Callithrix jacchus: one gene and its partner. The protein of the gene in region 1 interacts with the protein of each later gene in a pairwise test. Links are inferred from orthologs where the notes say so. Each region holds a gene or a part of one and is shown on either strand. Other genes may lie near its edges.

Evidence for each region.
Region 2: the proteins of MCM10 (region 1) and CEP72 interact in a two-hybrid assay, tested with the Homo sapiens proteins (2 studies listed by BioGRID and IntAct). The two-hybrid records come from large-scale screens. The link is inferred for Callithrix jacchus from reciprocal best matches to the Homo sapiens genes MCM10 and CEP72.

Annotation. Positions count from the first base shown.
Region 1 is NC_133508.1:14,259,543-14,263,458, reverse strand, and holds part of MCM10 (protein MCM10 homolog), read right to left. Parts: intron 2,686-3,916; coding exon 2,541-2,685; intron 2,276-2,540; exon of another isoform or gene 1,925-2,275; coding exon 1,806-1,924; intron 1-1,805. UniProt on the Homo sapiens protein: Acts as a replication initiation factor that brings together the MCM2-7 helicase and the DNA polymerase alpha/primase complex in order to initiate DNA replication. Additionally, plays a role in preventing DNA damage during replication.
Region 2 is NC_133503.1:205,413,456-205,417,371, reverse strand, and holds part of CEP72 (centrosomal protein of 72 kDa), read left to right. Parts: intron 1-404; coding exon 405-540; intron 541-1,679; coding exon 1,680-1,876; intron 1,877-3,916. UniProt on the Homo sapiens protein: Involved in the recruitment of key centrosomal proteins to the centrosome.

The sequences.
Region 1 (3,916 bases):
TGGCGAGTTTCCTTGGTACACGGAATGTCAGGGAACAGCCCTGAGGGCAGAGATGCTTGTGGCAGAATGTGCGTGCAGCGATGGGGTTAGCGCTGCTCCACAGGCAGGAGGGCCCTGGGCCTCGGGTGCCACAGAAGCAACGAGCTCAGCTCTGCAGCTGCAGAGGCACTGCTGGCATCTCTCCTGAGTTTCAAGTTCAGTGAAACGATACCATGCAGAGCTGTTTTGTTAGTTATTTGTTAATCAAAGGAAGAGCAGATCATCTGGAGTAGTGATACAGAATGGCGATTATTTTTTAAATTGGTGGGAGCACTTTGTGTTATCATAATGATTGCTACCTCTGCGGTTGGCAGCGACCAGGGGTGCTGAACTGTCTGCAATACATGGGACAGTCACCGACACAACTAAGGACTGCTTCTCATCCTGCCTGGCTTCTGTGTGCTCTGAGACAAATGTGTGAGTGGGGAACCTGATTAAAACCCTAGAACCTAACTGCTTTCTACACAACTCTACAATATTTGTGCATGCTTTTAACACGTGTTGGCTATTGTAAGAGTAAAAGTAGATTCCCGTGTATACTGAGGGACAATGGTACTGTGGTTTCTCGGGATTGTTTACTTAAAACACATATACACACACACTCTATCTCTCTCTCCTCTCCAACCTGGGCAACATAGATAAACCAGACCTTGTCTCAAAAAAACACCCCCACCCCCTGAAAAGTACATTATCTATTCCTAGCTACTCAGGAGGCTGAGGTATGAGAATTGCTTGAGCCCAGGATTCAAGACCAGTTTGGGGAACATACAGAGACCCTGTCTGAACACTCCTCCCATCCCTGACAAAAATCCCCACATTATCAAAGAAACATTTCTGAGTCTCCATTTCTGGCTCATTTATACTAATAAATCCAAGCCTCTCACCACTTTATCTCCCCTCAGCTAGTTCTGCCTATGCATTTACAAATCCATAATGCAATCTCTACCTTTATCTTAAATATCTTTACTTTTTCTTCTTTGCATTAGGATATTAATTTTTCAAAATGACTAGTATAGGTAATTCATATTATCCATGAATTTTATTTCAAGATAAGAAAGCAATACAAACACCTGTTACTAAAAAGAGCCTCCAGCATGAGTTAAGCCCGGCTTTGGAGCATCTGATATGCAGATATAAAATCCTGGATGGGAAGACTCTCTTTGCATATTGCAAGGCAGAAAACAGCAACAGTTTAGAACCATTTAAACATCACTTCACAGCCATAACCAAGTGCAAACATTTTTATAATACTGATATCTATTTAAGTCATGTTAAGTCAAATGATATTCTTCAGTAAAGGGTCAAAGCCAAGGCTAAAATCTATTCGAAATTATCCTGTTCTTCAAAGCAAACTCAAACAAACGGACACATACCTACTTCTAGAATTATGTAAAAAGCAGATTCTTGGCTGGGCATGGTAGCTCATGCCTGTAATCCCAGGACTTTGGGAGGCCAAGGCGGGAGGATCACTTGAGGTCTGGGGTTAGAGACCAGCTTGGCCAACATGGGGAAACTCTGCCTCTACTAAAAATACAAACATTTGCTTGGTATGGTGGCGGATGCCTGTAATTCTAGCTACTGGGGAGGCTGAGGCAGAAGAATCGCTTGAACCTAGGTGGTGGAAGTTGCAGTGAGCCAAGACTGCACCACTGTACTGAGACTCTGTCTCAAAACAAAACAAACAGCAGATTCTGGTCCTACAGCTGGCACCTTGGCTTTGAAGGACACCGGACATCAACACCATCCTTGAGCTTTTGGGATCTTACCTGTTTCAGGATGCCTGTGTGTTTTGATTTTGCTTTGAGGATTTTCTGAAATTCCTCAGATTCCAGGTAGGCAAGTTGTTCTCTCCTTTTTTTCCTGGCAGGTTCTAATTCAACCTCAGCTAGAGCAGAAGGAACAAGCATCAGCAGTGACCAAGAAATTGCAGAAAGCCAGCGTGCCTCGTCGACTCCACTCCCTTCCACTCCCCCTTCCTCTGCCTACCAGCCCTTCAAACGCGACCTACCCCAGCTGGCCCCAGCAGAGGAAGGGCTCAGAGGTGAGCCAAGAAGCTGAACATAGAATGTGGGTGGTGGCAGATTTGGCCACTAAATTAGAATCTCTTTTTCACCTTCAAATAGGCAGCTGACTATCATAATAGATAATAGCAATGTTAAATATGTTGACAATGATGTTAACATGATATTGCCTACTTCGGAGTTTTAAAAATAAAGACAGGGCAATTTAAAACAAAGGAATTTGAGTCCTGTCAAAGCAAACCTTTACATTAATATATGTACAAAGATCCTATTCCCAAGTATTCGAATTATGTCTAATTTCATTCCAATTTAAAGTGATTATAAAAAAAATCAGTTCCACCCATAGAAATTCTATTTAGGTATTCTTTATAGGAGGAAATTGAAGTAACTGCTTGATATCTGGGTGCTGGTTTGGGTTTAGAACGTATTTCCCTTAGAAACAGTTTCTGTTTTCCACTGTTAACTGTGAAACTGCAGTACCTGGAGAAGAAAACATGGCGTTCTTTTCTACACGTTCCTTCACCTCCAGGACGGCCTGAGGGTCCTTTTGCTTCTTCTTAATGCCATTTGGGTTTGTTTTTGTAAGGATCTGGCCTTTTGCCCTTAATTTGGTGATAGCAGCTAACTAGAAAAAAAGAGAAGAGAGGGAGGTAAAGATCTGAAAGATGACAGAGGCGCTTAAGACCTGGACCTCTTTTTTGTTATTAACGAGTGAATTCTGGCTGTCCTCCAAGAGAAACTGGCAAAACATATCTTAATTTTCCTTGGTATTATTACCAAAATTACTAGACTGTAATAGCATGGGAGACAGGTCTACATGCTGATGAGTAAGTCTCAGTTTATTTAAAATATAACAAGTGTGACATCAGCGAGACTGCAGGCTTCCAGATCCAGGAAGGAGCCACATCACCATTTTGTAAGTTTTAGAATCAGAGAGAATTAGGATGGAATTCCATCCAGCTCTGCCATGGACTAGCTTGTAACCCGAGGCAAGTTATATAATTTCTCATTTATAAAACGGAAATGGGGCTGGGCACGGTGGCTCATTGTAAACCCAGCACTTTGGGAGGCTGAGGCAGGCAGGCTACTTGAGCTCAGGAGTTCAAGACCAGCCTGAGAAAAAAACATAGCGAGACTTCATCACTACAAAAAATACAAAAATTAGCTGCGTATGGTAGTGCATGCCTGCAGTACCAGCTACTCAGGGGGCTGAGCTGGGAGGATCACCTGAGCCCTGGGAGGTGGAGGCTTCAGTGAGCTGTCACTGTACCACTGCATACCAGCCTGGGAGACAGGGTAAGACCCTGTCTCAAAACAAAACAAAAGAAGGAAATGATGATATAGTATTGACCTACCTTTGAAGGTCATGGTGGTGTGGATGAAATAAGATGTCTGCAAAGTATGAATCTGTACATAGTAAATACATTTCTGGCTGAGTGTAGTGACTCATGCCTGTAATCCCAGCAGTTTGGGAGGCTGAGGCAGGGGGATCACTCGAGGTCAGGAGTTTGAGACCAGTCTGGCTAATATAGTGAAACCCTGTCTCTACTAAAAATACAAAACTTAGTCGGGCATGGTGGCAGGCACCTGTATTCCCAGCTACTCGGGAGGCTGAGGCAGGAGAACTGATTGAACCTAGGAGGTGGAGGCTGCAGTGCGACGAGATTGTACCACTGCACTCCAGCCTGAGTGACAGAGCAAGACTCTGTCTCAAAAAGCAAGCAAACAAACAAACATAGTAAATGCACAGCACACACATATCACAGGCATGGAGTAACACGGACATGCGTCATGGTTGTTATTATAGGTTATTACTGTATGCAGTACTATAGGTATGTTGGGAAGGTCGTGGCATA
Region 2 (3,916 bases), on another chromosome or scaffold:
CTGTCGGTCATCCAGACCTCACTCACCCAGGTCCTGTCGGTCATCCAGACCTCACTCACCCAGGACCTGTCGGTCATCCAAACCTCACTCACCATGCAGGTCCTGTCGGTCATCCAGATCTCACTCACCCAGGACCTGTCGGTCATCCAAACCTCACTCACCATGCAGGTCCTGTCGGTCATCCAGATCTCACTCACCCAGGACAGACGCACCTGGCTAAGCCCCATGGGCGAGCACTGCTGAGCTGTCCTCCACCTGGCTCAGCACTGGGGCCTCCTGGCACCTGCCTTCACTTCCCCTCTGTGGTAGGAGCACGTCACAGGGTGCTCTTGGGGCACCTGCTGGCCTCAGGACCTCAGTTCCCACACCGACTCACAGGGCTTATGATTTTGTTTCCATCCCAGCCATCTCCCAGGTCCCACTCAGCTCCACCCGGGAAGAACACAGGCCTGCAGGCAGCGCTCCTGGAGACGCTCGTGAACTTAGTGGACAGGAGCTGGGGTGACCGCAGGTCTCTGCACAGCAACGAGGCATTCCTTGGTGAGTCAGGGTGGCTGCCAGCTCTTGCCCTCCAGGCGACATCTGTGTGGGATCCTGGGTCCTCTGCATGTGGTGACCTGGGAGTCATCTTAGCCCTTCCCATGTGCATGTGGTGGTCCTGCACCAGGGCCTTCCTGGCAATCTGCCTCTCACAGTCGCCATGCCTCTTGGCACCACGTGGGCCTGGGCCTGTGGGTCCCCCATGTGCTCTGGGTGTTGGGGTTCCTGTCACCTTGTTTTGCTCAAAATGCTGTCCAGATGCATTTGGTTCTGATGGTGGTGTTCATGTGTAGCCTGTGCTGGGCCTGCCTTGCTGAGCTTCTGCTTGGCATGGGGCCCAGGAGGGCAGTCCCTCTGCAGACAGGACTCAGGTCTGTTTGATTCTTCCAGGTGACCTGTGTGGGAGCATGCTGGGGTCTCCCTCATCTGGGGTCACACTTGGAGACCAGGAGGCGCCATGTCCCCGGTGGCACCTTCTCTTTTTCCTACAGCCTGGGGTGTGGCTGTACGTATCCGTCAGGAGCCTGACCTCACTAGCCTATTCCTCCCGGCAGACCTTGGGTGTGGCTCTGAGCTGTCTGAGCGCCCCTCGAAGTGTTGTGGCCCCTCAGCTCCTAGAATGAGGACGCCCTGCAGTTTCAGCCCACCTGGACCTCAGCCCCGTAGACCCTTCCCCTCTCCCTCGGCTGGTGTCCATGCAGCCCATCCAGACCCCAGACCCCAGTCCTCACCTCTCCCTGGGCTAGTGTCCTGCAGGGGCCTCCTGAGCTTGCTGTGGTCAGTGGCAGTGGCACTGTCCCTGGCTCTGTCACAGTGTGGAGTTGCCGGCTGTCTTCTGTGTGGTAGTTTCCACAGCAGGGCGGTCGGTGCTTGTGGAAGGCATAGCGAGTTGCGGTGGCGCCATTGAAACCTTGAGACGTGGCGTCCCGTCACAGCCTTTTTTTGGGGTCGCCTCTTCTCTTTCTTCAGTTCCTACCCTGCCTATGTGGACGTGCAGAGCCTGAGGTGGTTTTCTGGCGCCCCCTCCCTGCCTGCCGTCTTTTTAAGGCATCCTCTGTGTGATTCAGGACACACTGAGCCGGTTTTATGTTCACCCTCCAAGCCTCAGTGCTGACGTAGGATTTGATTTTCACTCCTAGCTCAGGCAAGACGCATTTTGTCCTCTGTTGAAGAACTCACAGTAGCCCAGGATGGCTCCGCGATGGTGGGTGAAGATGTCGGCTCCCCGGCTCTGGAGAGCAAATCCCTGCAAAGTCGCCTTGCGGAGCAGCGGCAGCAGCACGCCCTGGAGATGAGCGAGGTGACGGCGGAGCTGCACCGCACACGCAAGGAGCTGGTGAGCCCGCCCTGGCGGTGCTTCTGCGCCCACGTGACTGGGGGAGATGGGCTTTGACTTCCAGGAGTGAGGGCTGCTCCTTGACGCCCCACTGCCCCAGCCGCCGTCTCTGCAGCACCTCATCTCCCCTCCCTGCCCAGGACCCGGCCGCCCCCAGGATCACTGCCGGCCCTGTTTCACAGCAGGCCAGAGCACCTTGGGGGCAGCAGCAGTGCTGGCCACCTTCCTTCCTTGGAGGGGCTGGGCCGGGGAGGTGGGCAGGGGTAACGCCAGCGGGAGACGGTCTTTAGGCCCCTGTCCTCTGGCCCAGGCTCCCCAGTCCCCTGCTGAGAGGCTCCAGTGCTTCAGGCCATCACAGGCTCCCTGCTGCTACCCTGCCTGTGCCAAGCTGAGCAGCCCCCTCCCCCGGGCCCAAGGGAGCCGCACGGTGCTGGGTGCTGCGGGAGCCAGGCCTGGACCTGACTTTATCTTGTTGGCCCGCCTTACAGGGCCTTGAATTGGAGACACCTGAGCCCACTCTCCTTTTACGAAGGAGATGACGGCCAGTGTCCCACAGGGAGGTGGGGCTACAGGGCAAGTTACCCCAAAACCAGCAACTGAAAACCCACCTTTATCAGCTTGGATTTATGTGGATCAGGCCTCAGGCTCAGCTCAGTTAGGTGTGTCCGTCTCCGTCTCCGTCTCCGTCTCCACTGAGGCCTCATGGGCAGGATCCTCCCAGGCTCCCTCCAGGCTGCACGGGCCTCCTTATGGGCTGCTGGAGTCCTTAGGACATGGAGGTGGTGGTCAGAGAGCCACGCCCAGACAGAAGCCACCCTCCAGGAGTCCTGGTGAAGGCAGGGCCCCACGAGTGAAGGCACTGTGGGACAGCTGAGAAAACCACCTCTGAACTTGTCTGACAGGTAGATGCTGTCTATTTTATGAGAACCTACATCTCAGAGAGCCCACACAATGCTTCCTCTTTAGAGAAGAAAAAGGACAGTTGGCGAAACAGCACAGGCAGCCTCTGTATTTAAACACACATGGCCCATGCCCCGTCCCGTCCAGAAGCCTCTGTTTAAACACACGTGGCCTCCACATCTAAAAGTCTCCCTTTAAACCTATGTGGCCTTCATTTGGAAGCCTCTGCATTTAAACACATGGCTCCCTGTACAGAACCCTGCATTGAAAAACATGTGACCCCCTACCCCCCATTTGGAAGCCTCTGCTTTTAAACACACGTGGCCCTGTCTGGAAAGTGAGCTGGGTGCCATCACTGCTGATGCATCCAGGCACACCCCCTGCCCTTCTGTGCCTGGGACCACACAGAGCTGACAGACGGAGCCCGAGGGTGAGCTGAGCACCAGGGCCGCCTGGGGTGGGAGTCACATACAGCTGTGGCCACCATGGCAGCCTGCTTTTTAACCCTGTGCTGTTTGTTCAACCCTGTCCCTCGGAGCAACCCTGGGCCACGGGACAGAGCAGCCTTGGTTCCCTGGTGAGTGATCTGGAAGTCACTAAGGGCAGGAACCCTGAAGAGAGAGCAGGCGGCAGTCGGGTGGACGCCGCCTTCCAGGGAGGTGCATCTGTCATTCCAGAAGCACCCAAGTTTACTCTGTAACACGGGGATGCTCATTCCTCAGTCATGTGAACTGTGCTTCCTGTGGAAGCTGCAGTGGTGTGTCCTAGGGTACAGTTGACCCCACTCCCAGCTGCCGTGTTGGGCACAGCCTCTGAGGCATATGTGCTGTGCCCAGCCTGGGCGCAGCTGGTCATCCGTTCCCCGCACCTGCCCTGGCCTCAGCTTCAAAATTAAAAATCAGTCACATGTGGTGGCACATGCCTGTCATCCCAGTTATTTTGGTAGGTGGAGGCGAGGCTCAGGAGTTGGGGGCCACGGTGAGCTGTGATTGTGCCACAGCTCTGGCTGGATGACAGAGCAAGAACTTAAGTTCGATGAAAAACAGCTGGGAGCCCACAGCTCTGCCTTCCAGAGCTCATTGCGTCCTTGGGAGGCCAAACCATGAGAGGGGCGCTGCCAGGAGCTTTCAGAATGGCCCA